Linked DNA regions of Alligator mississippiensis. The protein of the gene in region 4 interacts with the protein of the main gene of each other region in a pairwise test. Links are inferred from orthologs where the notes say so. Each region holds a gene or a part of one and is shown on either strand. Other genes may lie near its edges. The genes, in order: VARS2, TRIM41, MEOX2 and NCK2.

Evidence for each region.
Region 1: the proteins of NCK2 (region 4) and VARS2 interact in binary tests that used the Homo sapiens proteins (3 or more experiments, as listed by UniProt). The two-hybrid records come from large-scale screens. The link is inferred for Alligator mississippiensis from reciprocal best matches to the Homo sapiens genes NCK2 and VARS2.
Region 2: the proteins of NCK2 (region 4) and TRIM41 interact in binary tests that used the Homo sapiens proteins (3 or more experiments, as listed by UniProt). The two-hybrid records come from large-scale screens. The link is inferred for Alligator mississippiensis from reciprocal best matches to the Homo sapiens genes NCK2 and TRIM41.
Region 3: the proteins of NCK2 (region 4) and MEOX2 interact in binary tests that used the Homo sapiens proteins (3 or more experiments, as listed by UniProt). The two-hybrid records come from large-scale screens. The link is inferred for Alligator mississippiensis from reciprocal best matches to the Homo sapiens genes NCK2 and MEOX2.

The regions. Positions count from the first base shown.
Region 1 is NC_081834.1:53,002,823-53,010,493, forward strand, and holds the start of VARS2 (valine--tRNA ligase, mitochondrial), read right to left. Parts: upstream 3,091-7,671; 5' UTR 2,989-3,090; intron 1,607-2,988; 5' UTR 1,522-1,606; coding exon 1,288-1,521; intron 3-1,287; coding exon 1-2. Other genes in the region: zinc finger protein ZFP2, read left to right, coding at 5,730-5,858, 6,482-6,692, 7,128-7,211. UniProt on the Homo sapiens protein: Catalyzes the attachment of valine to tRNA(Val) in a two-step reaction: valine is first activated by ATP to form Val-AMP and then transferred to the acceptor end of tRNA(Val).
Region 2 is NC_081834.1:51,430,611-51,437,806, forward strand, and holds the start of TRIM41 (E3 ubiquitin-protein ligase TRIM41), read right to left. Parts: upstream 3,143-7,196; 5' UTR 2,605-3,142; coding exon 1,645-2,604; intron 1-1,644.
Region 3 is NC_081828.1:164,601,168-164,608,406, reverse strand, and holds the start of MEOX2 (homeobox protein MOX-2), read right to left. Parts: upstream 3,074-7,239; 5' UTR 2,768-3,073; coding exon 2,257-2,767; intron 1-2,256. UniProt on the Homo sapiens protein: Mesodermal transcription factor that plays a key role in somitogenesis and somitogenesis and limb muscle differentiation. Required during limb development for normal appendicular muscle formation and for the normal regulation of myogenic genes.
Region 4 is NC_081824.1:347,833,247-347,841,108, reverse strand, and holds the start of NCK2 (cytoplasmic protein NCK2), read right to left. Parts: upstream 3,117-7,862; 5' UTR 2,836-3,116; intron 1-2,835. UniProt on the Homo sapiens protein: Adapter protein which associates with tyrosine-phosphorylated growth factor receptors or their cellular substrates. Maintains low levels of EIF2S1 phosphorylation by promoting its dephosphorylation by PP1.

The DNA.
Region 1 (7,671 bases), on a different chromosome or scaffold from region 4:
ACCTGGGAAAGAGAAAAAACAAAGAGGATGCTGAGAGAGAAATCAGTATCCATCTCCATATAAACTACCCCACAGCTATTTAACAAAGTGCAGCTATTTACTGTGTTGACGATTACAAAGGCTATTTATACAGGGGGCGGTCAGTGCTGGAATGCAGGTTGGGGTAGGGTAGCTGGTTAACTGGTGCCCAGCACCACACAACACGGTAACAGGAAAGGATAGAACAGCCCTCTAGCCCAGGCCTGCAGATCCTGTATGTTAAAAAGCCTGAGCAAAATACTCAAATTCTCTGAGCATCAAGGTTCCCTCTTGCCAGCCCTTCCCTCCTGAGCATTCATCATTTCCCCAAGTGTAAGCACAAGAACGGCACCAGTAACATTTCTATAGCACCTCACTCTCAACCACTGACTCAGCTGCACTTTACTCCATCCGTAGCACCACAAAACTGTGGGGACCCCCGGTAAATCTCCTTTGGGCCTTGGTCAAACTGTCCTTCTATGAGATCAGGACGGAGATGCTGGCTAGAGGGGACCTGGGCAACTGTGAGGCTCTTTCTTTCCTTTCTGTGGACTTCTCTGAGCAGAATTTCACTAGATGAAGTCCACTGGCTCCCTAAATGCCACCGAGGAGCAGTGGGTGCTGGCTGGGACTCTTTGCTCCGTAACTTTCCCTGGCACTTGGTTACTGACCTGTAACCTTCCCTTACCTCCCTGTTTTTAAACCTGTCATCCCAAACACTTACTGTGTACCTAGTGACCTCTCTTTAGCTGATAAGGATGGTCTGACATTCCTGGTGGGCCTCATCCTGCTGTCACGGTGCAGCAAATAGGTCTGTCTTTCCTTGCTTATGAGCTAATGGCAAAACAGATGACAAAGCAGGGAGACTAAGTCCTAGGAGGGCTCCACCCAAGGAAAAGAAATAGGAAGAGCTCCACCACATAGAGCCATTCTAGGAATCAGCCCGTCCACTACTTGTCTCTCTCATGCTTTCTGCTTGCTGCCACCTTGAGGTAATGTAGATGGAGAGGGGCAGTTTGTGCAGCTTGGGCAGGTAGAGGAGGATATTTAGGGTGGCTGAAGAACAGAGATGCAGACCCGTCCTCAGTCTTAGCAAAGATGTGGCACTTGGGGCAGAGGTGACTGAGAATGACAGAGCCTTAATCCTGCTCCCTGCAGCACAGATCTTCCAGTACTGCAGTGGGGCACTGGGCTCAGCACTGGCTGTGAGGGGACTGCACCAGCTAGAGAGTCCCCACACCTTCTCCCCAGTAACCCCGGAGCCTTTACCGCTGACTTCTGGGCCACTCCAGCCTCAATGGACTCCAGTCTCTTGTGCTGCCTCTTCTGCTTCTCTGCCTTGTTTTTCAGCTGGGTCCAGTTCTGTGCTGAGATCCTGGAATCGGATGAAGCTCTCCATCCGGGTGGGATGGCCCAGGGCCCAGGTCTGGTCCAAAGCTGAAGCAGCTGGTGGAGGGAGCTCAGACACCGACTCCTGATGGATCCATCCCTTTTCAGCAGCATGTTTAGGAGCAGGGAGGTCCAGCTGCCAGCTGAAGCCCATCAAGGGGAAGGGGCCCCTTTGTCTGGCGTGACACAGAGGAGGGACCTGCAGAGTGCAACACAGAACAATGCAACCTGCCTCTCGCTCCGCCAGCGCCATAAAGGGCTTGATGCTGGACAAAGAACAGACTGGGCACAGGCAGCACAACACAGAGCACGTGCAACTCCACATGCAACCCAGGGGTACCAGCTCCCTGCTGCCCTACTGCACTAGACCCCACTTTCCTCCTGGGGAAACTGGCAAGGCAGATGCAAGTTTCTGTGTCTATGTCTGTATCTGATACAGGGACATTTTTTAAGGGGTATTTTTCTTTCTTCTTATTTGTCCCCTCTGAGGCCGGATATGGAAGAATTAGAAGTCTGGGGCAAATACTGAAAGGACACTTTTTGCATGGAGGCTTCCCCAGAGGGAAGCATGAAAGGACTGTGCAACTCTTGTTCACAAGGAGGATGTTCCCCCCCCCCCCCGTCCCCTTTTCAAAAGCCTTTCTAACAAGTCCCAAGATTTTCCAAACTGAGCTTCTTTACCTTTGTTTAAAAGGTTAAAAACAGCTCATGCCAATCCCAGCACCCTGCAGGCCTACAGGCCCTGCCTTGAGATGCCACAGGCTTTCTTCCTGGGCAGGTAGAGCAGTTCTGGGCTCGGGAATCATCCTGCCCCCGGCTCCAGCTCCAACTCTGGTGCAGTTGATCACAGTTCTAAGGGAAAGGGGTTGCCCTGGCTTGTCTCACAGCCATGCCCAGCAGCCCACATGTGTACAGGTGTGTGTGAACATGTGCATGTATGTTTGTGCATGTGTACGAGTGTGTGCATGTCTATATGTGTCCATGTGTGCATATGCACAAGTGTGCATGCATATGTGAAGGTATCCATGCATGGATGTGCCCATAGGTGACTGGTAGGGGGACATGGGAGGGCATATGGCCAGATGTGCATGTGCGTGTGTACAAGTTTGAATGTGTCCATGTGCAGGTGCATGAATGTGCATGCACATGTGTGTGTCTATATGTGTATGAGTGTGCATGCATGCACGTGTCCATGCCTGCACGTGTACACACTGAGCCATACATGCAAGTGCATGCACGTGTGTGTCTATGTGCATGAGTGTTCATGCATGTGCACACACGTGGCCATTCGCGCATGTGGGTGTATGAGTGTGCATGTGCCCATACGTGCATCTGCTTGCATGAGTGTGTTTGCACGTGCACGTGCGTGGTTGTGCGCATGCGTCTGTGCGCGCGCACACCCGTGCCCGGCCGCAGCGCCTCGCTGGGTCTCACGGAAGCAAATCCGGCTGAGCCGCGCGCGAGCCGGGCCCGGGGGCCAGCGGCAGCCGCCATCTCTTGCCCGGGCCCTCCCCATTCCCGCCCGGGGCTCCCGGCCGCCCGCCCTGCCCCCGACACGACACGACACGCCACGACACGCACCAGCCGACGGCCCCGGCTCCAGGTCCCGGCGCAGGGGCGGCCATGGGGCGGTGCGACTGCTGGGCGGACTTCCTGGTGGGGGCGGGGCCAGGGCATGCCCCGCCCCTCGGCTCTTCTCCCTGCCGCCGGGTCCAGAAAACCACCGGTTCTCGGGGCGGGAGTGGTTTGTAGGGGAGGGGGAGGGGTGCTCCGTGCGGGAGATCCGTGACGCAGCCAGCGCGGGGGGTGTTGGGAAGTCTGTGTCTAGGTGCGGGGCAGCGCTGCGGGGCTGGGGGTCTGCTCCTAGCGCAGTTGTTGCCTCGGGTGCTCGCCGTGGCCGGGGGGCCGGGCCGGGCCGGCTGTCCCGGGCGCTGTGTTGCTGGTGGAGGGGCAGCAGCAGCGAATCTTGACGTCATAGGTGACGTCCGCAGGCAGGTGGCTGTAGTCCTTGGTGCAGATTGCCATACCGGGAAGTCAGATCCCAGGTAACTGGCACTTTCCAGGGCCGCAGACGAGTTGATTTGGTTCAGCGCCCCCAGATCTCAGTAAAACAAAGACATTGAAATGTAGCGATCAAAGCGCATTTGTCTTTGCGCTTTGCAGCTGTTCCGGCACCTGCCCAGAATGGCTGCTCCCATCCTTCCTAGGGGCAGTGGGGTAGATGGAGCGGGGCAGGACACCCAGCTCAAAAACGAAGCAGCCATGCAAATGTAAATCAGCTCCCCCTTAGTCTTGCACGTGGGTGACTGCTGCCCCCTGAGTGGGGGGGAGCACGTGCCCCCCCAGCAGCCAGTCATCCACAGGGAGGTCCCTCGCGGCTAATGGTGCCCACCGTGTGGGGGTCCCCCTGCATCCAGCCTCACCAAAGGTGGGTGTGTGTTGGGGGAGGTCTGTCCCATCCCTGCTCTGATTTCTAGTGGCTTGTCTAACCCCCCGCCCCCAGCACCAAATTCACCAACTGCAGCTAGAGTGCAAGGGAAGTCCAGGCAGCCCCTGACTGCCCATTTCATGGCTTTTTCATGGCCCATTTCATGGCATCCGGGAAAAGCGCATTTCATGGCTTTTCCCGGATGCAGGGCATGCTTTGCAATGTGATGGGGCCTGTGTAGGCCAACAGAGGCACAGCTAGGCTGGAAACGTGCTCTTGGAGGTTTCTGCCTGAAGGAGAGAGGCTTTGGCAGATCACGGACACATGTGCCCTGGGACTCCACTTGCCTCCCACCTGGCCCAGCCGGGGCCCCACTCCCTTCCTCACCCCAGGGGCCTTGATCTGGACCCCGCTCCCCTGCTTCTTCCTCCGCAGACTTACCTGCTGGGGGGGTGCACATGCATGCCCCCGCACATAATTTTTTCTCCCTCTGCCCCCCATCTTTCTCTCCCTGCAGACTGACCTGCTGGGCGGGGGGGAATGGCACACGGTAGACCTTGGTTTGGACTTGCATTCAAAAAGCAATCTTGTCCTTAAAACTGCTTTAAGTGAACGTCCTTATGCCTAGGGACTTGTGTTTGTCCCTTCCCATTGGCCTCTGACCCTAACCCCTGGGACAGTCGATACCAAGTCAGTTCCTCCCCAGCTGTAGCGATTGTGCCTGACACTGCAGGGGGTTGTTACAACTGGGCAGGAGAAACTGAGGCAAGGGGGCTGGGAGCAGAGTGAGGCTGGGAGGGGCAACCCCCCCCCCCACTAGTGCCTCCCTGAGCCCAGCAGGGGAGGGGGAGGGTCTCCACCCCTTGGAGCAGCCCTGCCCTGCCCTGCCGGCTGCTGCCAACAAAGGGTTAATGCAGGGAGAGGGGGAGCTGCAGCAGGTATGACCTGTGGCTGACTCCATGGTGGGAGGAGCCCAGGGTTTGTATTGCAGCTCCCAGGAGCCCTGGAGACTGCAGGGAGGGAAGAGAGAGTGAGGGGCATGGGGCAGGGCAGGGCTGGGCTGGGGGGGAGCAGGAGATGTGTGCTGCTTTCTCTGCAGCCTTACACCTGGGGGCGAAGACCCTGCCCATCCCCCCGGAGGAAGGTGGGGAGGGGGCTGCAGGGTTTTGTCCCCGGACCAGAGCCAGACCCCACCTGGGTGAGGGGCTCTGGGCCCTGACACGTGTCCAGAGGTTCTGGCTAGGAAGAGGCCCTGGGCTGTGGGGCTGGGCAGGAGGAGCTGTGCCCACTCCAGGTGCTGTGGGGGCACTTGAGGGACCCTGGGAGACAGGCTCATGAGGGGATGTGGGGCAGGAGGCTTGGCTGGTGACCGGGAGGTGTTGGGAGACACTGTCCAGACCAACGCAACCTGGCCGTGGTGCAGTTGCGTGGCTGTGGGTTGGGGCTAAGAGGAGCTGGGGCCATGTGCAGGGCACTGCGGGAGGGGCTGTGAGGCTGGGCAGGGCAGCTGTGTCCCTGTGGCAGAGGGGAGTCAGCGCTGTGAGGGCACTGGAGGGACAGTGGGGATGTGGGACATGGGCCACTCCAGGTGCCTAGCAGGTACAGCAGGGCCTGGCGGAGGCTGAGAGCAGGTGTGAGGCTGGGGTGGGGAAGGAGCTGTGGTTGGGGGTTTCTGGAGCTAGCCCGGTTCCTGCTGCGTACGTCAGGCAGGAAGGGAAGCGAGGACAACCCTGAGGCTGCTCTGAGTGGGCATAGCCGGGGGTGACGGGGCTGGGCAGACCTCAAGGCAGGGACAGGATCACGGTCCCGGATCTCTCATCAGGTGGTGAAATCTGTACTCTCTCCTTTCCCACAGGTGGCCCTGGAGACCAGACACTGTCGGCAGGTGCCATGCATGAGTGCAGGGAGAGCGAGAGCCCAGGGCCCCGGCTGGGTGAGGCCTTTCCTGGTGGAGACAGTGGCTGCTGAGCTGAAGCCCATGGCAGCTGTGGACCTTCCCTTCACAGCCTTGGTGCAGCCTGAGGTGAAGCTGGAGGAGCAGGACCCAGGAGGTCTTTGGGCAGGAGACGGGGGGCAGGACAGCTCCCTCCTGTCATCCAACCTGGGGTCAGGGAGCATCCCCGAGGTGGTCGGCACCACGTGCAGTAAAGCAGCAGCTGCAGGAGCTGGTCCAGTGCCAGGAGATCCGGGGGTAGGAGATGATGCAGGCCATGCAGCTCCCTTCCCGAGGCTTAGATTCCTTCAGAGACCCCACAGCTCTGGAGGATGACCTCCCCACCCAGGACCTGGTCTCAATGCTTCAGGTGCCTCTGCTACCCAGAAGCCAAGGGGTCACGGGAGGCTTTTGGCCACCTGTGGGACCTCAGCCAGCACTGGCTGGATCTCCAGAGCCACAGTCAGGAGCAGATTCTGGAGCTGGTGGTGCTGGAGCAGTTCCTATCCATCCTGCTCCAGGAGATGCAGAGCTGGGAGTGGGGGTGCAGCATGACCCTGGGACAGGAGGAGGATGAGAAGCTGCAGGTGAAAACATTTCATCCTGATCATGGATGCTGCTGTCCCTGTCTCCATGTGCTTGAGAGATGTTCCCTCCCAGCCCCATCTCTCCCAGATCCAGGCTCCCCAGTGACTCATTTATCTGGTTTCCAGGTCGCAATGAGTGGGGAGGCCGAGGAAGTGTCCTCAGACGAGATGCAGCAAACTGGGGCACTGCAGGAACCTAGTGATTCCTGGGCAGAGCTGCCAAATGCCCATTGTGCGGAAAGGCCTCTGGAGGAGTCAGGAGACATGGAAATCTCGGGGCCTTGGGACAAGCCACCTCACGTGCCCAGAGAGGAGCCCCTACCCCACCAGGAGTCAGGTGAGATACAGGGTGGAGGCCTCCACGTGGGTTTGACTGCCTGCGTGTCTGTCCTGCATGCAGTGGGAGAGGCTTGAATGTCTGCCCCAGCACGTGACAAGGCTGCAAGATTCATAACCATGTGGCTGAGCTGGGACAGACCTGATCCCTGTGTGTGGGCAGCTCTGAGGCTGAGAACCCTGATCTTTCTCACTGCATGTGTGCAGCACCCAGCACAGAGAGGCTTGCTCTTGCTTGGGCCTTGTTGTGCTGCCCTGGTAACAATCAGTGATATAATTCACATTCCAAGAGTCAGTGTTCACTGGACACTTTCTTATGCCCCCATGAGTCCTCTGTGCCCAATAAGGGGCTGGTTCAGGTGATGGGGAAATGAGACTCCCCAGTGGCCTCTGGCTGGTTCAAGTACAGCTAACCCAGACCTCTGTCCTACTGCAGACTTCCCTGAAACCAAGGAGACCTGGGAATTGTCAGCACATGAAAGCTGCTCAGGCTGGTGCCCCGGACAAGGCCCAGAAGCAGGTAAGGAGCGGTGGTTCTTCCCTTTCCAGCAGCAGGAGGCACCGTCCCTCAGTGGAGAAATCTCTCTGCCACAACATTTTGATGGGTTCAGTGCTCCAGCAAATCAGCAGTTCTTGTTCTTCTGGTGCCCCTGGAATCATTTCACATGCCCAGGAGAAAACTGACCTTGCATTTCCTCTCCCCCTGCCCTTAACATGTGGATGCTAATACAGCACCAACTCCCCTTGAGCTTTTTCTCTCAGGGAGTCATGTCCCTGAAGGCTCTGACATAGTGCTGTGATCACCTCCCCATGCTGGGACAGAGTTATTCGGGCTCATCTCCAGCCTCATGACCGTGGAGGTCTATTAGCTGGAGCTGTAGGATTTTGAGTCTTCCTTCTTCCCCCCTCCTCCACACACTGAAGCCTCCATCTGCCTTGATCCCAGGCCAAGACAGGAGACTAGCAGGGCTTTCCCCATA
Region 2 (7,196 bases), on a different chromosome or scaffold from region 4:
CATTGAACGCAATGGGGCTGCTCTCCCTGCAGACCACAGTCTGCTGATTCAGGGCGTTAGCTGTAATTTTGCAGAAGTACTCGTTTGCCTCTCTCCGCACAGTTCCCTTCCCCCACTCTCCTGCTTCCCTTATCTTTTGAATCCAAATCACTCTATTTGATAGCTTGCTTTTTATATGGCTTTTCTGGGAAAATGTTAGACTAATTAAATCAGAGATGCATGCATCTCTACCCTGCATTCTTCCTGGCTTCAAAGTAACACTAAGTAATCTCTTGCAGAAATAGTACGGCTACAAATTTCAGTCATGGACTAGGGCCCTCACTGTGCTTGCCATTACAGATAAAGAACAGAGACATGGTCCCTACCCCAAAGAGCTACTAACTAAGAGTAAGAGACAACAGGTGAACAGTCCAGTGTGGTGCTAGCTGATGCAAGACATCCAGGCAATTTTTTAAGTTCACAGTATCTCTTTAAAAATAAAAATGTCTCTTTTTTTTCCCTATTTTTTTAAAACACTTTTGGGTACTGTGTAGATAATAAACATCTCACTAAACCTGTTAGCAGAACCAATGTGCTGATTAACTGCACAATCTCATGGATAGAGTTCACAGTCTCCCCTCCAGACCCCCACTGCTGCTGTCCTCCCCGTGCAACTTACTCTTTCACCAGCTCAGGCCCAATTTTGGATGCTTATCTCCCCAGGAGGATCTTTCACAACATTGATTCCTGAGAAATCCCCATACACAACACCCTTGTAAAAGATGCAAACTACATACATAATCAAAGGCTCTGATCTTAGAAGTGTTTAGCAGGGGGGGTCATGATGGCATCACTGGAAATTAATAAAGCAAGTAAGAAATTAGATTTAGTACAAACAGGAGTCAATTAGAGGACTCTTAGGCCTGGGTTATGGAGGGGTCAATCTAGTGATGGCAATGGTCCCCTCTGGCCTAGTAGTCTGTGAATCTAAGCGCACACCTGCAGGAGTTACAAGCCCTTAGCCTCTAACCCAGAGGTGGGCAAAATGCGGCCCAGGGTCCAGATGCAGCCCGCCAAACCATTTTATCTGGCCCCCAGGGCCCCTGAAAAATTTAGAAAATTCGTATTTATCTGCCCCTGGCTGCCTATCATGCAGCCCTCGATGGCTTGCCAAAACTCAGTAAGCAGCCCTCCATCCGAAATAATTGCCTGCCCCTGCTCTAACCCATGCCAACGGGCACCAATTCAGCCAGACTCTGCCAACCTTTGTTCATCTTTACCAAAACACTCAGTGGGATTAACCTCGCTGCTCTACAAAGCAACCCAATTCACACCACACAGCCCCGGGGCATCGGTGCTACCTGGCAAAGCCAACGTAACCATGTAAACTCCTACCCCAAACCAGCACCTGAATGAACTAAACGCATCTCCTACCTGCAAAACCACCCCCATAAATCCAACCCCTTAATCAACTTCACAAAGCAACCCAACGCTCCCAAATCCAGTTTCCCCACAAGCCAGTTGACCAACAGCCCTTACCAACCACCCAGTCAAGCCAAGCACACCCCCCTCCACGACCGCTGCTGGTCACCCACCCGTCTCCTGCGCCCCAACCCCGACAGCACAACGGGACCTCTCCGGATGGCCCCCACAACCTCCTCGTACCTTGTAATCCTGCACCACCTCCTCCAGGGGGACGACGCTGTGGTGCTTGTGGCTCCGCGACTCCCTGCACACCACGCAGATGGCCTGCTCATCCACCTCGCAGAAGAGCTTGAGGGGCTCCTGGTGCTTCTCGCACAGGGCCCGTCCCTCCAGTCCCCCGGGCGCCACGGCCGCCGCTCCCCCGGGCCCCCGGGGGGCCGGCACCACGAGCCGCTGGGGGTGCGGGTGCATCTGCCGGATGATCTGCACCATGTTGGCCAGCTGCAGGTTGGGCCGGAAACTCCTCTGGGGGAAGGTCTTGCGGCACTGGGGGCACGTGAAGGCCTGGGGGCGTCGAGGCCTGGGCAGCAGCAGGGGTCCAGGCGGTGGTGGAGGTGGGGGTGGCTGCTCTTCTTCCTCCTCCTCCTCCTCCTCTTCCTCCACCTCCACCTCCAGGTCTTCCTCCTCCATCACGTCCTCATCGTAGTCGTCGTCTCCGAAGAACAGCTCGGCACCCACGTCCTCCTCCCACATGTCGTCCTCGCCCGCGTCTTCCCACAGGTCGGCGTCCTCATCTTCCTCGCTCCACATGTCGTCTTCCTCTTCTTCCTCCTCCTCCTCCTCCTGGTCCAGCTCGTCCTCGTCCAGCTCATCCTCCTCGTCCAGCTCGTCGTCCTCCAGCTCCTCGCCCATGCCTACGTCGCCCGCGGGCGCCGCCGCCGCCCCGTCCGCGTAGGCCGCCTCCCCGCCAGCCTGGCCCGGCCCGGCCCCGTCAGCGTCCCCGTCTCCATCGCCATCGCCCCCCCAGAGCTGCGCGATGCAGACGCGGCAGAAGTTGTGTCCGCAGCCGATGGACACCGGGTCGGTGAAGTAGTCGAGGCAGATGGCGCACACGGCCTCCTCCTGCAGCGAGTCCACCGCGCTCAGCCGCCCGCCCGGGCCGGCCCCCGCCCCCGCCCCGTCCGCCACCGTCGCCGCCATCGCCGCGGACCCCCGAGCGCCGGAGCCCGGGCCCGCTCGGCGCCGGCCGGGGACACTCTAGCCCGACACCCGCCGCTCTCTGTGGTGCTACGTCATGTGACCGGAAGTGCCTCGATCTCCGCCCCCGCTGGTGGTTGTGTTTTAACGCCCCCCGGGACTATCTAGGCCCCGTCTCTCTATGGTTTTCAGGCCGCCCGTTGCGCTGTCTCGCCAGGGCGACACAGCGGGCGGCGACTTTCTAGCTTCGCGTTGCCGGGCTCGATAGTCTCCCCGGAACTGTTGGGCGGAAGCGCCGGGTTGCCATGGGAACGGCGGCACTCTGCTCTCACACACAGGCGGCTCTATGGTTCTCACTCCCGGAAGTCGGGAAGAGCCTCTGCCGCGGGTCCGATCCCTTCCCCGGAAAAGCGCGACCAGCTGACCCCAGTCTCTATGGGGGCAACACCGGAAATGGAGCTAGGGCATGCGGGGACGATCTGCGCTCAGCCCTGCTGCCTCTCTATGGTCACAACCACCCCACCTCCCCCGCTCAGCAACTCTGGGAAGCAACGATCCCTTCCCAGAAGTGCCGCCGACGCTCTGTCCCCTACTCTCGATCATTTCCGCTAGGAGGCGAGGGCGCTCTAGCCGCCTCTCAGTGCCTGGGAGGTCGGGGGCGGGCACCCGAAGGGGCGGGATCGAGTGGGGGATTCTTTACCAGAGGGGCGGGGCCTGCGCAAAGGGGCGGGGCTCCAAAGCGCGAACCTTGCTTCGGTGAATGAAGGGGCGGGGCCAGCACAGGGGGGCGGGGCTGAGAGGGGCAGCTCTGCGGTGGGGGCGGAAAAGGCAGCGGCAGCGGCCACGGCAGAAGCAGAGCCTGCTCCGGCTGCAGTCCTTCTTCTTCTTCTTCCTCTTCGTCCAGACGCGACATGTCTGAGGCATAGTCTTTCCTCTTGATTTATTCCGAGCAAAGGGACATGCGAGGAGATGATAGCAACATCATTCAAACGATGATTAAATCACAGACCGAGCCCTGACATATCGGCATCGAGCTTCTATCGGCCAAAAAAATCCCCCAGCTCCTGTTGCCCGTGACTCGCGCGGGGAGTGGTCATCCCAGGTTCCCTGTGCGGTGTTTCACTCCGGAAGCGACACCCAAAAACTTTCCTGCGGTCAATTTCTCCGGGATTAATAGCCCATCGATTTGGAAACAAGTAGCAGTTCTTCAGCAGTGTTTTACGAGCTCAGCGCACACCAGCCCGGCTAGCTCAGTCGGTAGAGCATGAGACTCTTAATCTCAGGGTCGTGGGTTCGAGCCCCACGTTGGGCGAGTGCCTTTTTTGGGGTTTTTTTTTTAAGTTTAAAACATTTCTTCCTTTCTGTTCAGGATGTCGTATGAATTTCTGCCCCTGCAGCAACTGCAAGCTGGGTTGGTTTGAGTTCTGGAAGAAATCGTAAGGAGAGATTGTGGAGAAGGCACTTCCTACACAGAGCGATTCATAAAACCAAATTAAATTCCCATTTTATTCTTTTTCCTCCCTCAGCTAGGATAGCCAAACAGCCCAATGGCCAGTCATCTTTTGCTGCCTCCAGAATGAGGTGCACTCAGAAAGATTTCTTCGGAGACATTACAAATCCCTGGTGGAGGATCTGAGTGATAATGCACAGCTCTGTCACCAAGTTAGTATAATGTCTCATGCCCAGCAAGATGGGAAAAAGGAGACGTGTCCAGCTGACAAACCGCATTCCCTTTTGCAGACAAGGGTCTTTAGGTAAAGGTGATATTTTTTGATTTCCCACCTCTGAAAGTACTGCTTATTTCACTCAACCGCAACCTTTACCAAACAGGTGATCTGATCCAGAAGGATCTTGAGGGTGGGATAGGGTGCAAGGTTTTTTGGCTTTATGCTGAAAGTAATTGAATATCAGTTTTCAAACCCAGGTGGTTTGGGGCTGTATTTTGAGGTTGTTTGGGGGGGGGGGGGGGTTGTTTTGTTTTTCTTTTTGCCTTGTACTTATTTCTTCTTTTCCAGTGAATTTGCATTAAGGTATCTGGAACCCTACCTGGGGTGGGGGGTCACAAGACCTGGCTGTCCAAAGGACAAGCTATATCCCCAGGTGTGGCAGGATATCCAGGCTGTCAAAAGGACACGCCACATCCAGATGCGGACCCGATGGATCAGGCTGTGGCCACTTCGATGAGAAGCTCACGCAGCTGGTTTCTGTAGTGTAGTGGTTATCACGTTCGCCTCACACGCGAAAGGTCCCCGGTTCGAAACCGGGCAGAAACAAAGTGCTTCCTTTAAACTCTTGGATGATGTCTTATTCTTGGAGATGCTGCGTTGAATGTGTCATAGGGGAACGGATGCAGACTGAGAATCCAGGTGAAGAGGATCTCACTCTCAATATCCACATTATGTTAAAAGGAGACATTGATCTTTTTTCTCTTGTCTGTGTGTTCTTCCCTTCCTCTAAAGCAGTAGTAGCTGGCTACTTATTTGTACATGTGTGTGAGGGAGACAAGGGTTAGGAAGTGATGGCACTAGTCACAGGACATACAAACTGCACCTCTGACTCACTGCCACATACTTTCTCCCCACCCATGGCCACCCCCCACATCGGGTGGGGAAAGATCCTGCTTTTTTATCTTCCCTTTCACTGCAGAGTTGGGCCTGATCCTCTTCCCAAGATCAGCTGAGCATGTTCCCGTCAAACTAATTCCCTACTACTGCAGTGGGAACGCGTTGATGACCCCCTTGCTTGACCTGCTCTTTACCTGGGGGCACATTGTAGGCGCTCACCGTGGAGCATTTATGGCTGTGGCCTCTGAGAGGTCTCACAGCTTGTACTTGCAGCGTCCCTGGGCAAGTGGCTGTGTCAAACACAGTGGATTAGGTGGGGTGGCTGCAGAGGCCCCTTCCAGGCTTGTTATTTCAAATCTGCCCTCTGCAGATCCTTTCCCAGCTGTGTCTGGGTTTTGATGACTGTTGCTACCTGTTTTATATCATTCAGTGTCCAGGTTTTTACACTCAAGGAAAGATCTGTAAAAGCTGGAAAACATCAGTATCTGCTCCTGCACAGTGCCCAGTGTAGGCCATTTGTCTGGGTTCTGAGGAGATTTTCTTCACATCGCCGGTGTCCCAAGTAGGTGTGTAACTAAGCCACATGGATCCTAAGGCAAGCCCCCATCTGGTAGGCTTTGTGTCCTCAATCGGCTACTCTGCTACTCTTCGAAGTAGCATTTAAACAGAAGCCTTTGCTTTTACTCCTTGAAGAACTTCAGGTGTATCCAGGTCTCTGACATACCATACCTCTACTGTCAGAGGCTGTAGCTAGTTTCTGTAGAGTAGTGGTTGTCGCGTTCGGTTCAAAACTGGACAGAAACAAAGCCAAATCTTTAAGCTCCTGGCTAGTGGGTTGAGCATGGTTTTGGGGGATTCAAGATTCAAGATCTCAAAGTCAGCCTCTATGTATACAGTGCATTTTGCCTGGCTGTTGACTTTTGCTTGTGGGGTTTTTTGTTTTTTGTTTTTTTTGTCTGTCCCTTACTATAAAGCACTGGACACTGAGTACAGACTGGGAGCCCTACTCCCCGTACTTAAGCACAAGTGCAAATGTGGCTCACACCTTCATGACAAAAACCACTGCCATGCTTGAAGTCAGAAAGGTCTCCTTCCCCACCCCTGTCAAATGGGCAAGGACCCTGTGTTTTTCTCCTTCCTTTTTTCCCTGCAGAATTGGATCTGATCCTTCTGCTAAGATCATCTGACCATGTTACCATCCACCAAATTCCCTAGGGTGTAGTAGCAAAGCAGTGAGGACCCCTTTGCCTCCCCTGCTCTTTACCTATGGCACCTTGTAGGAGCTTTTCACAGCACATTTATGGCTATGGCTTTGGAGAGATCCCAATGTGCTTGTGACCTCTCTGGTCAAGCCTCAAACAGTGAATTGTGCTAGGTGGCTGGGAAGGCTCCTTCCAGGCTTGTCCCAAACCTAGTCTTACCATGGACTTTCCCAGCTTCCCTGGCCTTTGACCCCTCTACTATTGTTGCTAGTTATTCAGTTCTCAGGTCCTTACACCTGAGGAGAGAGAAGTAAAAGCAGGAAAGCATCGGTACATGCTTGTACAGTGCCCAGTATACACCATTTGTCTGGACTCTGTGATTTTTTCCCTGTGTCCCAGGTTCTTGTGTAATGAAACTGTGGATTCTAAGGCATGCGTGACCCAATCCTTGTGGCAGCGCAGCCCCAGCCCCTTCCCCAAGGTCTGTGTGCCAAGCAGAATGTCTTGAAGTGCCATGCTGTGGCACCTGTGCCAGGGGTTCATAGATTCATAGACGTTAGGGGCTGGAAGGGACCTCATGAGATCATCGAGTCCAGCCCCCTATCATAGGCAGGAAGTCTGTTGCAGTCAAATGACCCCCGCAAGATAAGCATCCAAACACCATATGAATGAGTCCAGAGGAGGTGCTTGCACCACCTCTTGTTGGGGAATCTGTTCCAGACCGTGGACACTCAGATCGTAAAGAAGTTTGTCTTTATGTCCTGTCTAAATCGGCTTTCCAGGAGTTTGTGACCATTAGACCTTTTTATTCCTTGGAGAGCTCTGGTGA
Region 3 (7,239 bases), on a different chromosome or scaffold from region 4:
AATATTTCAAGACATGGGCAACCTCAAAGCTAACTTGGTTCTGAAATGTGGAATATAGCCAGAGTAAAAATATATCTAATGTTTCCTTTAAATTCGTGTTGTAAATTCAAGCATACTAAATTTATCCTGAAATATACACTAACATTAAATTACTGGTGTCTAAGACCACCACACACTAACTTAACAGCCTCCTTCTTTCGTTATTTACAATCATAATTTAATATGTAAACATGCATTAAAGTGGAGGATTAAACTTCTCAGAATGAGCATTACTTTTATAAAAAAAAGGTATGATTAAGACAAAAAGAAAAATAAAAGAACACGATTTTGATTCAGAACAAAATAATCCATCCTGTATATTTCTCACTGAAAGTAGTCAAATAAGCAATAACTGCTGGTAATTGCAGAAACAGACTGATTGACCTAAAAACAGGTTTTGGTGTCATAAGTTACCATAATACTGAATATTTAGGACAAAAGCTCAGGTTGAAAAAGTGGGAGGGGTTGAGTAGTGGCATGCAGGCAACACTCTTTTGAAGAAAGCTTAAGGCAGGCCTTCTTGACTCAAGCCTTTGCAATAATAAATAGATTAATATATTTATTTGGGTTAAAACAGTTTTATGCCTCCACTCTGCAGCTTTATATTCAGATACTGCCTTAGAAAGCAAACCCTAGATTACACCATTGTACTGAAGCCATCACAACTAAAGTCTCAATCAATACTGTTCAAAAGCCATTGGAAAGACACCCTTGACTTCAGAGATAGATACGATTTCAGCACGGGTGTGGGCTTTTTCATTGCAAACTGCAATAAATGAAAAACTGTAATGAACATTTCCCTAGCATTATAAATTAGTGATGAATTCTCTCTTGTTTTCTGCCTTTGTAAATAAATTGATGAGTTCACAGACTCCTCTCATGCACCATATGGCTTAAAATTATTTTCATTAGAAACTGGTGAAAATAATCACCACATCTTTCACCTGGTCAAGTACATGCAATTTGTTTCATAAAATAAGATATAGATGTCATTCCAAATAAATGCCCATAAGTAGCATCTTTTTTATAGTTGGAAGTATATTTTTATTTTATATAAGCAATAGATTCCCTAGTGCATAAGAAGCTTACTAACTAACCTAGTGTTTTATTGCGAGTCGGGGTACAACGCTTTCTGGATGATGTGGAGAGCAAAAAAAAGACGGGGGGGCGGGGGGGGGGGAGAACCACTCTGTTTTATAAAGAAAAACCAACTGCTGCCAGAGAAGAGAAAGTGAAAGGATTTTTTCCAAATATTTACTAGTGTTCAGCATTGAAGCCATGACTCTCTCCAACTTGTAAACACAGAGCCCGGTTTTGCAAAGTTTGGTAGTGTACAACTTGGTTTGTCTGCTCCTGACTTTCCAATGGGGGAAACACTTTCCTGTCTCACTAGACACAGAGAGAGTGTCTGCACACACTGCCCTATCCCATTACCTCCTGCATGTCTCACTACTCTGTGTGTGTGTGTGTGTGTGTGTACTGCCCTATCCCACTACCTCCTGCGTCTCACCAGACTGTGACGCATCTGTCCCACTAGAGTGTGAATGCATGTCCTACTACAGTGCCTGTCCCACTAGTGTGCGTGTGTGTGTGTGCGTGCCCACATCTCAGGAGAGAGAGGGTGGGTGTGCACGTGTTCACACACCTTCTTTCCTCCCCGTGTACTAGAAATGCCATCCCTTCCCAGAGAAGCCCTGCTACCGTGGCGGAGCCATTCACAAGAATGGCATTTGAGCACGGGGGAAACTTGTCGCCGAGCCCCAGGATCAAGCACCATCTCCCTGCGCGGCTCACCAATACCAAGATACTATGGGAGAAACTTTTCGATTTTACTTTTTGACGGCGGAGGGGGGCAAGGGGCTCCCCCCAGATAGGCCAAGTGAACTGTTCGATCCCTCAGCTCTTCTCCCGCCGGGAGCCGCGCCAGCCCCCCGGCCCCGGCCCCTGACCCCGGGGTGAGCTGGGCGCGGGGCTCCCGCGGGGGGCGGCGGAGCGCGCCAGGAGGAAGCTGCCCCCGCCGGGCCCGGGCCCTGCGGGAACCTCCTGGCCCGGCCTGTCAGGCGCTGTCACGTGCCGGCGTGTCCATGCCCCGGCCCCACGGGCTGCAGGAGGGAAGGTCAAGGCACGACCCGCTCCGAAGCCGGGTGTCGCCGGGGCCCTCAGGCAGGAGGCAACCACCCTCTCCCCCCGGCCCCCAATGCAAGGGGAAGCCTTTACCTGAGCTGTCGCTTTTCCTCTTGCCGCCTCTCTTCTCCGTCTCCACCGGGGATAGAGCCTGCCTGCCGTAGTCCCCTGGCGCGCAGGCCGCCCCCGTGGGCGTGCTGGTGCCCAGGCTGGAGGCGCCGGAGCAGAGCCCCGGGGGGCTGGTGCCCAGCTCCGGCGGGCCGCCCGAGTCGGGCTGCAGGCACAGGCTGTGCCTGGCCGCGGCCGGGGGGGAGGACATCTGGGGGATGTGCCAGTTCGTCTGCAGCGCCTGGTGCTGCTGCTGCTGGTGGTGATGGTGGTGATGGTGGTGGTGGTGATGGTGGCCGCGGTGATGCTGGCTGGCGAACATGCCCTCCTCGCCGGGGTATCCCGCTATGATGCACGAGGAGGACGAGGTGGAGAGCTCGGGGTAGGACATGTGGTCGGAGCGTCCGTGCAGGGCCAGCGAGGACTGGGAGAAGGGGTGCAGGCTCTGCGCCGCGGCGTGCGGGCTGCGCAGGCAGCCGAAAAGGGTGTGATCCATGGCATGCGGGGCGCGGGTAATCCAGGGCCAGGTCCCGGCGCCGCGCGGCTGTCGCGGAGCGGGAGCGGCGGGGAAGGTGGTCCCGCGCCGCGGCTTTGAGGGGGAACCCGCCGCTTACCGGGAGGTTATAAATACAGGCGCGTGTAACGTGAGCCGGGGGCTGGCTCAGCCGCGCCGCGCTGACCGCGTGCAAACTCCCTCCGAAACTCCGGCGCGTCCCGCAGCCCCGCGTCCGCGGGACAGGACAGGACAGGACAGGACCCGGCCCGGCCCGGCCCGGCCCAGCCCGCCGCGGGCGGGGCCGCCGCCGCCGCCTGGGACCCGCGCACCCGCCTGCTCGCCCCCCCGCCCCCCGGGAGGAGGGGCCGGCTCCGCTCCTGCTGCGCGCATCCGCCCCTGAACTTGTGTGCGCGCTGGAGGCGGCGCCCGCTTCGCACCCGCGCCCCTGCCGGCCTCACCTGCTGGCCCCACACCTGCCCCCTTAGCCCCGGCCCGGGCCCTCTGCCGCACCCGGGGTGACCAGCAACAAACAGCGCGAATAACGCTCCGCTGGGCCGATCGCGCGTGGCCCCCGCTGCACAGGGCTCCCCGCACTCTGCTGGCCCCGGGGCTCGGGCGGGAAACGGGCGCCGAGAGGCCAGGGAGTGAGTTTGCGGGAGGTTACACCAGCGCCTCATGGTCAGTGGAAGACACTTGCTGCCATCAACACCACAAAACAACCCCCCCAACACACACCAAAAGGACCAAGTTCTCTCACATCTTCCTGTTCTCTGACTGCAGCTAATACCTCCCCACGCTGCTTTTCGCCGTCTCAGGTGAGACACGGCGGAGAGAGTTTGAGACGCCGCTGCTCGCAGGGGATGCAGTCAGTGGAGCCGCGCGCCAGCGCAGCCCACCTGTACACCCCCCCACCAACGTGTGCGTGAGCAAGGGGGAGCACCCACAAGCAACGTTTTCTGTCTTAACCCCCGCCCCCAAATAAATAAATCAGCAGGGGTCCTGCCATTTGTGTCTTAATTCTGGAGTCCGTGTGTCAAGAATTAAAAAAAAAAAAAGAATTTCAGTCGCTATAGGAAAAAAAAATCAGGAATTGCATGAGATTTGCAAGAGCTAGTTACTTAAACGGAAATTGAGCCCTATTTTGTGGGAAATTAGTTTTGCAGACTTTCTGCGCGAAAAAAAAAAAAAATCTAAAAACTTTTGTTCAGCAGCTGCTGCATTTGCCCTGGCAGTTTCAGGCTGAGCCGGAACCTGCAGCAGTCTTTAGACGGTAAGAGTCGCCCTCCCTCCTCCCCCCCTTTTTTTTTAAATTTTTTAGATCTAATGCTTTTTTTCGAAAAAAAACCCCAAAACAAAATAGTGTGTTAACTTAGTTTTAGCTGTAACAATCCCATCTAATGTGATGTCCAAAGCAGCAGTAAGTCTTGTTGCTGCTTTGCACTGGTCACCCCTTGATATTGCTTCAGAATAAAGGAAATATTCAGTTACAACACTGATGAAATATTTTGTGCGTTTCATTGTTTATCGTTTCAATATGTGCTCTAATATTAAAAGGAAGCGTACAAAGCAAAGGCGATGCCTGAGCTGTGACTTGTTTTCTTAGCACCCAGCGCTGCGAGATGAGCGCTGCTGCTTGGTCCAGAAGACGTAGTGCTCAGGGCCCCAGGAAGGAGGAACCGTGAGAGGTTCACTAACGGGAGTGCTTTGTTAGCACCGCTTTGCAGGAGGAGCCAAAACAAAATTTACCCCTAACTTATTCATGCAATGGATGCAGTATATCCAAGTCCTTTTTTTTTTCCCCTCTCTTTTTGGGAGGGGGGTTATTCCAGCACAAACCCTCTGACTGTAAACAGCTGATGGGGGACAGGGAGGGAATGCATTTTGTTTCAGGTGCCTTGTAAATAGTCATCAGGCACAGAGCTCTTTCATCTCTAATAGGTGCGACTTCCCTTAACGTGCCCAGGCTGAGCACTCTTCCAGCGTCAGATGTTAACAGCATGTCCCGAAGTTTCTTACCAACCTGCTGCTGTCAGTCAATCAGGCTCTGGAAATGTTGAACAAGGAGGGAGAAAATAGAAGGCAAAGAGCGAGACTGACACCGTTTGAGGCATAAAATATCTAAACAGCTGAAGAACGGGTTAAAAAAATATAATGTTCCAGATCAAACTCAGTTGAGTTGTTTAACTCTAGAGGTTAGGGGGCACTGGCACATGTTTTCTACGATAAAAAGCAGAATAAGTGAAGCAAAAGAGGAGATGGTGGGAAAAGTAAAGATTAACTTTCCAAGAGAAGCAAGAGTCAGAGCCATGTTGCACTCTTTTTTTTTTTTTTTTGTACAAGAAGAGCATCCAAAAGGTAAAAGGGGAATGATGGAGGGGAAAATCAGAGAGCTAAATACTTTTTTCAATATAATCTAAAATTAATCTTCCTCTGTTTCCCATAATACCTGCCTCTCTTCTCATCATGTCTCAAAAGTTCTCATTGTAAGCAAAACAAGAATTTGAAGGGTTTTTCATTTGAAGCAACATAAGCAAACACAGCCATGCAATGGGTGTTAAAGCAAATTAGTAGCTAACAGTTTATTGCAACATCCTAGTTAATACACTTATGGATTTATCAGTCTATAACTAATCTGTAGATTTGTGACACAGTGGCTTGTATAATTTTAAAGCAGCTTTCAGCAAACAGGCTGTAAAGAAACATAAAAAAAAAAAAAATCAAGAAAATTCTAATGTAAAACTTGTAAATAAAAGCAATTCTATGAAGCAAAATATGAAGGTTTATTAGAGCTCCATATTATTGATTGGTTTCATGTTTATATTATTATCTCTTTCTATATTGCACTTTTGATCTACATGTGGGAGTAGTCAGTGTCAACAAACTTGCCCTAAACTTCTAATGCCAAGTGAAAATAAAAGAATGGTTTTAGATGTTTGAGAACTGTAAACCATTTAGCTCATAAAACAGCTGGAACCAACCTAGCTTTGGACATCGTTTATCCTCTCCTAAAATGAGCTAATGGTTGCATCTGTTTTTTAATTTTAAAATGTATTGCAAGATATAGAAATCATATGAAGGAAGGCGGAGTGCCTTCTGCTTCAGAATTCCTGTACTATACTCCTGTTCAGGCTCTTAGAACAGGTTTTAATACCCTGAACATTTGACCCTGCTGATATTTTTAGTGTTAATAGCTCTGCTGATAATTAGGGGTGTTGCCCATTTCTTTTGAGGTCTGTGCCCTGTTAGTATATGCATGCTACAGTACAATGAGACAAATGGAAATATTTTAGGGTTAGATCCTTCACTTACATGAATTGTCATGGTTTCACTGAAATCAGTGTTATTAATTTTTTTGCCAGCTCAAGAAATGCCCCTTACCATCAAAATATAAAGCTTAAAAATATTATTTTAGCTCCTTTTATCCACAGATTTTATTATACCTAAGGGTTTATCAAAAAAAGATGGAATTTTATTGCGCTGTAATTATGACTAGTGTGCATTTTTTCAGGGCAGCTTGGTCAAGGCAGGCATCCTTACTTCAACATTAGAGCCAATACAGATTCACAACAGATGTATGTTTATTTTCAGATTTTTTGTTGATTGAGGGTATTTTTGCTACTTAATTCCCTTGGAAGTAATGCAGTTTGCTCTGTCTAGCAATGAAGTTTTACAGATCTCAGTAAAAACAAAATCAGAGGTTAATACCTAATATTGAAGATGCTATCTTACCTTTAACTGAAAATGAGTAATTTGTTGATTACCTGTCAGAAACAAAGAATATCTACAGACAGTTAAAAGGTGATGAAAATTACTTTTACTGTTTGTAGATCTAGAACAGAACAAATACCCACTGTACTTTGTAAAGACCTTTTGTAAGAAAACGTCATTAATATGCATAACTTTTAACATGGTATTTTGGTGGTGTATTTCCATTGCCTTCTGATGCAGTTACAAATGTAAGATGTATCAGACATAATTTTGGGGAAAAAAATCGTACAGCTTGTCTATTAAAAAAAAACACTCAGGTTTATATTTATTGTTACTTCTCCCATATAAACTTGGACTTCATTCTAATTTTCATGATCTCAAAGCATTACAAATTTTAAAGCTACACCAGCAATTTAATTTATTACATAAAAAGTGTGCTGAACTGGAAGGCCCTCACTAAAAATAATTTTTACAAGGTTCTATTATACCATTAAAATAGACTGCCAATACAGTCCAGTGAGAACAATTTCTTGCATTTCCTTTTTTTAACTAACATAAATCTGTAAAGTATTAAAATTAATGTTAAACCTCAGCTTAAGGATAGTTGAGATACTTGAGATGGCACGCATCTCAATCTTGGACATTCAGTAGTTTCTTTGGAGATTAAATTATGCTAAATAAGTCCTACAAAAGAATACCAAAAAGGTACTAAGACTTAGGAGTTCAAGAGAACAATTTATTTGTGCAAAGTAGCATTGTCAAGA
Region 4 (7,862 bases):
ATCTGCATCCCCAAAACATTAAATATCAAACTATTTTTTTTTCTGATGAGGGTTATCACCATCCCCTTCTACTAAAATGTTGGCCAACCAAGATATCCTGGCTGTTTGCTAGAACATAGTACTAACCATTAATACCTTATAACACCCACCCCCCATTTTAAGTGCATTTAAGTTTTTTCAACCCAGACATTAAATTAATACAAAACAAATGAAACCTTACATTTACTGCATATAGCAGCATTCTTTGGAGAACCTACAATGTTTTCTCTTACACGTGGCCCTCTCGAATTTTACCTACTCTATTATTTTTACACTGACTTCCACCCACTGAAAAAAAAAAGGAAAGAAAGAAAGGAAATCTCAGAAGTTTTTCTGTCACTGGGGGGGGTATACACATTCTGGCAAATGTCACAATTCCGAGCTCCAATTAAACAGAAGTTTTCATGATACGAAATAAATATTTCTGAAATGTTACTACAAGCAATTGGATCACCCTACGTTACTGCTCCTGGAATGGTTTTTAATTAACAGGTTTGGTATTCTCTCTAGACAAGATGTCTTCTTCCTCACTTGAATGTATGAACTTGTAACAGACTACTCTATCTTAAAATTTTGCATCCTGCTGAACCAGGCAACTACACAAAAAGTACTTTAATCTTAGGTTTAACATTTAGCAACCTCTGCTTTATTAACAATGAAAGCATGTTCATTTCTTTTGTAGAACACAATTTACTGATCTCTTCTAAAAAGTAAGTTTTCTTTTCTATTTCATGCTTTCAAATGTTAAAATGTATTCTTTGTACTATTATTTATGGACTAAAAATTAAATCTTACATTTATGTAGCAAGGGTTTTTTTATAATAATTATTTAGAGCTGATTAGGGATTTGTTATTTCACCCACCACTAAAATGTAATCAGTCTAATTTCTTACAAGACAACTAATGTAGCTAATCAAAACAAAGGAAGATGGGAAGAAGGAGTTCCCCAAATAAATGTGCAAGGATCAAAAATGGTGTCTGTCTTGGGAAACCTCAATCAATACCCACACATACAAGTACTACAGATTCTTAAACAGACCCAAGTCATCAAGTTTTCAGCTGCATGAAGAAACAACACAGTGCCCAATAACATCACCATACACTTCATTTTGACTGATTTAAAAGAACAAACAGGGGCTCTTATTAAATTACCCATATGAACTCAAGATTTCTTTGGAGGTCTTCCATATGAAAAGTGACCAAAGCCTACCCTACTTAACTTTTGAGGTTTGAAGAGATTTCATTCTACAAGCTGCAGACTCTATCATTTCTGCACATTGAAAACATGGTAAAAAAGGGCATTGCCTTTAGCTTCAATTTAAGTTTAATAGCAGTCAAAAAGCAGCTTTCCACAGAACAACCCAGCTCTTTTGCAGGGCCTGTCTCTTTAGGACAGAAGCTGTTTTGCTGGTGGAGCACTGTGTCCAATGAGGGAAGAAGCAGAAATAAGAGTGTTCCTTATCCTTCCCCTGCAAAAGCCAAGAGATGATAAAAGGAATAAACTGGTAAAGGCGATCCCCTCCCCCTCCCATGCAACCAGCCAGGAAACTTTAAAAGGAAATGAAGGGGAGGAACAGAAGAGACAGCTAGCCCCTGCAAAAGAGAGAGAAAGAAAGCTAAGAGGGAGCTGGAATTTCAGTTTTTCAGACACTTATTAGGCAGAGGCCAAGGTAGGGAAACCAGGCAGAAGACAAATGACTACATAATCTTTGCATTTCTTTTGCAGGGGAAATCTTGGAGATCACTTAAAAAATTGAGCACACGTGTGTCACTTCTAGGCAGCTGATTCAGATGCAGTTAACAGCAACCACAACAAACAAAACCCCTCACGACTGTTATGTATTGCACGAGACACACACTACCAATCGCCATCCCAATCTTTATAAGAGCAGGACCTCCCTCCATCCCTGCCCAGAGCTGTCGGCAGCTGCCATCCTGGCTCAAGTTCAGCGAGGAATAACTACAAAGGCTGACGTGCCAGCCCCCTTGTTGCCGATACCACCGCTCGGGGCGACCCCAAGCATTTTAGTTTCGACCGCCGTGATGCTACCTTTCCGAAACAATTGAGTCACTTCAAGACCAATTGCCTTTGTTGCCAAGTTAAAAGCACCCTGAGCTGTCTTTAACCCAAACCTGAGCCTACACAGCTGCGTTTGTTCCTGAACGGCTGCTGAAGAACAGCGGTGACAAGTACGGGGGTCACACCACTGCTCAAAGACAATGGCACAGAGCTTAAAAAAAAAAAAGGGGGGGGGGGAGCGGGGGAGGTGACAAGCCCGCAGATGCTGAACACGTTAAACCCTATAAAGCTGCTTCACTGAGGGCACAAGAAGCTGAGTCCCGCCCAAAGCGCGGGTCTCTTGAAGGGACACCCGTGTCCTTAAGGCTGAAGCGAGCAGAGGCCACAGGGATCGGGCCCGAGGAAGGGAGCAGGGGCCGAAACGGGACACGGCTGCAGCCGAAGGGTAGGAGGTGGCAGAGCGGAAAGCAACGGAGCCCCCGTCTCGGTCCCAGTCGGATGAGGCCCGAGGGACGCGGGCAGACCCCTCGCGAGAGGCGGAGGAGGGGGCTCCGCTCCCGCACACCTGCGCCCCGCGGCCCCTCCCCTCGCCAAGTTTCCCAGGCCCCGGCTCCGCCCCGCCCCGGCCCGTGACCCCCGACCCAGGCCGCCGCGGGCGGGACGTGGCGGGAGCAGCGCCCCCCACACCCGCAGGTGAGCCCGGCCGGGGCCTCCTTTCCCCTCCCCTCCCTTCCCTTCCCGTCCCGGCAGCGGGCAAGGGCCGAGGCCGCGCCTACCTGGGGGCAGCGGCGGCGGCGTCTCCCCGGCGGGCTCCGCTCTTTGTCTCGGCGGGTCCCGCTCCCCCTCCCGTCGGCGGCGGATGCAGCAGCAGCGGCCGCCTCCTTCTTCCCGCGGGGCCGCCCCCCACCCGCCCCTCCCGGACGGACGCGCTGCCCCAGGCCCCGGCTGCTGCCTCGCTCAGCCCCGCGGCGGCGGCATCGGCCCCTCCTCCGTGCTTGCCTCTTCCCTTCCTGCCGCGGCCGCTGCCGGGATCCGTGGGGCGGGGGAAGGGGGCGGCCTCTGAGCCCGCCCTCCCTCGCCCGGGCTCCCGCCCCGCCCCCGCCATGGAGACGCCCAGTCCCTCCTAGGCCTTGCACACGCCCCGCCCCCCACAACCGGGCGCTCGGGGGTAAAGCCCCGCCCCTTTACGGGGGGGGGGGGGGAAGCAACACAGGGCTGCACAAAGCCCCTGAATCGGCGTTTCTCACACACGGGCCGAGACCGTTTGTCCGATTCAACTGCAGCCCGAGCTATAAATAGCCCAAAGATTACCGCCCCCTCCAGACCCACCCATTGGCGCTTCCTGTGTGACGTCATCCCGGGAGCCCCGCCTTTAGAAAGACGCAAGGGGCATGGTAGGGAGGGACGCCCGTTCTGAGGGCTCCCTCCCCAACCCAGACATGCCCGGCGCTGCCCCATTAGGCCTTCCCCGTGACGTCAGCCGCGGGAGCCCCACCCCCTCAAGGCGGCCCGGGACCTAAGGGGGAAAGCCGGCTGCGAGGGGGCGGGGCTGTCCCGTGGGGCGGGGCGAGCTGGGCTCTGTCGGTGCTCGCCTCAGCGGGCGGGATAGGCTGGGAGGGCGAGAGTGTGGTGAGGGCGGGGTGACTGGTTTTCTCTGATTTAAAAAGAAATCCCCAATTTTGGCAGTAAAAAAAGTAACCCAAATCCACATTTTTCTGTGATTAAAATGAAACATCACTATATATATAGTAACCCAAATATATATATATATATATATATAGTAACTATATAGTACCTATAGTAACCAACTATGTACTCTATATATAGTATATATAGTAACCCATATCTATTTATAGTATAGTATATATAGTAACTATATACTATATATATTGACCCAAATATATATATATGTATACATATATATCTACTAACCCCAAATATGAAACAGCACTAATATATAAATAGATATAGTGGTGTTTCATTTTAATCATGGAACATGTGGATTTTGGGTTACTTTTTATACTTGGAAAATTGGGGATTTTTTTTTTTTTTTTAAATCGGAGAAAACCAGTATCCCTGCTCATCAGATTGGCATTGTCAGATCCCAGCAGCTTGGCCTCTCCTGACTTGTTCCCTTGTCGACTTGCAGACTTTGCATTTAAACGTGTTTGCTAGGGTTACTCTCGCCCCCACCCCCATGCCAAGGGCAGGTCCAAGGGTGCAGGTGCCATGGTGCAGCTATACCCTGCATCCAAAATTTTAAAGCCAACTGCCTGGCAATGATGGCAGCATTGCTAGACGGAGCCAACTGACTTCATGGTTCATCTTGTGGGCTAAGATCAAGTGTAGCCGCTGCACTGGTCTGTTGCCCAGACGGAGAGGGATTTAAATGGCATTATGTAGTGAAGGGTGCACCCCTGTCCAATGCAGAGGACAGGACGCCCTCTAAGAGTCTTGTAATTAGCTTCCCAGTGCCCAGCTTCCAGTGGGAGGATCTTGGCTACACACTTACTTTATGGAAATGGGGGGACTCCTCCCAACCATGCTCCTGTGGTCATTGGCTAAGGACAAGTGAGACTCAGGGGCATGCAAACCCTAAGCCCTCCAGTCTTGGGCCTGCATGTAGGATGCCTGCCAATGGATTTGGGAGTATCTGAAGCCCCAGGCTGAAAAGTCTGGGGTGGAGGATACTTGCGGGTTATAGCCCCACATATAGTGTTTGAACAACTGAATGTTGCTTAATCGAGAGGATTCAGAACTGATTTGGCTAATTCAACTTGGAATACAAAAAATTTTCCAAAAAAAAAATCTCTCCTCCCCTTCAGGTTTTAAGGACACCCTCCCCTTTCCAATGGTCCTGATGTTCCACTCTTCAAACTATCCTTGCTTTTGCAATGTTGTGATGTCTCTAAACTATTCCAGGGAATGCCACTCTTCCATTTCACAACCCTACAGACTGTTTTTAGCTCTAGCTAAAAAACTTAACTCGGGTGTAATAAAATTAACTCAGGTTGTGACAGTGAAGTATCAGAGGCACTGTTCAGACACTGAAGAAGGCTAGATTTTGTGTTAGGCAGAAAAGGTTCTTTGGGTAGATATGGTATCTTTTATTAAACCAACTAAATAGTTGAGGAAATTATTCTTTCCAAGCTTTCGGGCACAAACACCCTTCTTCAGGCATGGGGAGAGTTTGTGTTATGAATTTGAGTGAGAGATGCATATTGAACTAAAATGACCACGGAACTAGTGACACAAAAGGACCTGGGGGTTACAGTGGACAATAAGCTGGATATGAACCAATAGTGTGCCCTTGTTGCCAAGAAAGCTAACAGCATACTGGACTCCATTAATAGGAGTGTTGCCAGAAGAGAAGGGAATAACCAGTTCTCTCAATATTTAGCACTGGTGAGCTCACATCTCAAGTACTGTGCCCAGTTTTGCACATCCCTCCCGCCCCCCTCCAGAAAGGATGCAGACAAATTGGAGAGTCTAGAGGAGGACAACGAGAATGGCTTGGGGGCTAGAGCACAGGACTTATGAGGAGAGGCTGAGGGAACTGGGCTTATTTAGTCTGGAGAAGAAAAGGTTGAGACGGGATTGAATAGCAGTGTTCAGCTACCTGAAGGGTGTTTCCAAAGAGGATATAGCTAGACTGCTCTCAGTGGTGGCAGACGACAGAAATAGGAGAAATGGTTTCAAGTTGCAGCAAGAGAAGTTTAAGTTAGATATTATGAAAAACTCTCACCAGGGTGGAAGTACAGCACTGGAACAAACATGTTGTGGAAGCTCCATCCTTGGAGGTTTTTAAAGCCTGGCTATAGTAAGCTTTGACTGGGGTCATCTAGCTGGGGATGGTCCTGCTTTGAGCAGGGGGTTGGACTAGATGACTTTCTGAGGTTGCTTCCAACCCTCATTTGCTCTGATTTTATGATTCTATCTTTAGACTCTTTTTTTGCCATGCTTCTTATATATTTTTAAACTGTATATATAATCTAGCAAATTTGTGCACATACCAATAATTATATTTGCTTTTGCTTTGATCTTAAACTGAGTAATATAGTGCTAGCCCCCTAGTATATCAGTTAAGCATCTAGTTTCTCTTTAACTGGAGAAAAATGCGTTGTGCTATATGTGATGATGTGCCACACATCTGCATCCCCCCCTTTTCAAAATCCTAGATCTGTCCATGTTTGCCACCCCTAACAAGAAGAAATAAGTCTGTATGCAAGCCAGGAATGCTTATGAAGTCAGTTGACTGTTTTTTTCTTAAATAAAAACTTCTTCAGAAAAAACCCACAACATGCATATTACAACAGAGTGTAGCTGTGCCTCAGTAAAATGAGTTGTTTTGCTTTCCACATGAGACACAGTATGTGCGTTTTGTCAACCTATGTCCTGAGTTTAAAACAAAAGGTGCACTGTTTTTCTGCTTTGCAAACCTGTATGGAATCAGGAATGCCTTCGGGGAGGCAGTACCATGTATTGCAGACGTAGGCAATGCTTTCCTTTGTTAAGATATCAAGACAACAGATTATTTTTATTTATTTTTTTATTAGAAACTTAAAAATGATGAAAGGATTTTCTCACAATACCTGTTTAAAAGAAAAAACGTTATTAGAAAATGTTAAAAAGTATAGTTATTACATGACTTAGTAGAGTTGGAAGACAATACAGGACCTTGTGCATAAGTACATATTTGGTGTATGTTAATGCAATCCAAGATGTGCAGTTTAGCCATATATTCTGGCTGAAACCAAGCATGGAAAAATTCAACCTAAAAGTAGAATTTCTTCTTTAAAAAGTTACTATTTGGGATCCAATTTTGCCATAATTTCTGGAAGCAGACCCCTCTGCCCACATGAAGCCCGCTAATTTTTTTTTTTTAATCATTGGGGGTTTAGGTGAGTGGAGAAGGCCAAAATAGCGGGACTTTAGCAAGTAATATTAAAGTTATGGAGGAAGGAAGTTACTTTAAAACTTTAATAAGTTGTGTGCGGGCCGGGAGCGATCCGGGGCCCTTTTTCCGTGCCTCGGGCTTTGGCCAGCAGCCCAGACACGCTGGGTCGGAGAAAGCAGGCGACACGCTAGAATTAGGCATGGACGCTTAGTGGTTGATTCAAGATTGTTTACTTACACCGTAGATGGTCGCAGTGTAGGCTGGAAAGTTTCCCAGGTAAAGCTCCGCTTAAATCCCCATTTGAGGACTCAGACAAAACTCTCACTCTCACAGAGTTGTCGAGGCTCCGTGGATCCTTGTTTGTGCGCAGGGAAGAGGGATACGTCGAGGGTTGCGCTCGGCGACGGGGAGAAGAATCGATAGGTGATCAGTCTATCGATCAGCAGCCTCAGGTCAAATCTCCGTAGAGGCACTTTGCAGCGTGCTCTAAGTTCTCCGACTTGGGCGGAAACCACCCAAGCCTCTTATACGGCTGGCAAGCCAATCACTAGCCGCCACGTGGGAATAATTTTAAAGCAACCAGTAATGGGGCTCGAATTTAAATACAAATGGCGGGAACTCCTTGCAACATGCATTTCTATGCTGCAAAGAAGAAATGCACCCTGCAAAGAAAGCTTCAAACGGTGGGAAAATAATTCAGTGGTGCCAAAGCACACACAAAAACAAAAATCACACCTTTGGGTTGTGACAAGTTGCAACCATTTGACAACAACTTTAATTTTTTTTTGCTTTCCCTTGAGAAAAAGAGGTTTTGCCTGACCAACACCGACTCAGCCTCATCCATTAATTTTTCCAGGTTCTGCAGACAATGATGCACAATACCACTGTGTATTCCAAACAAGTTCA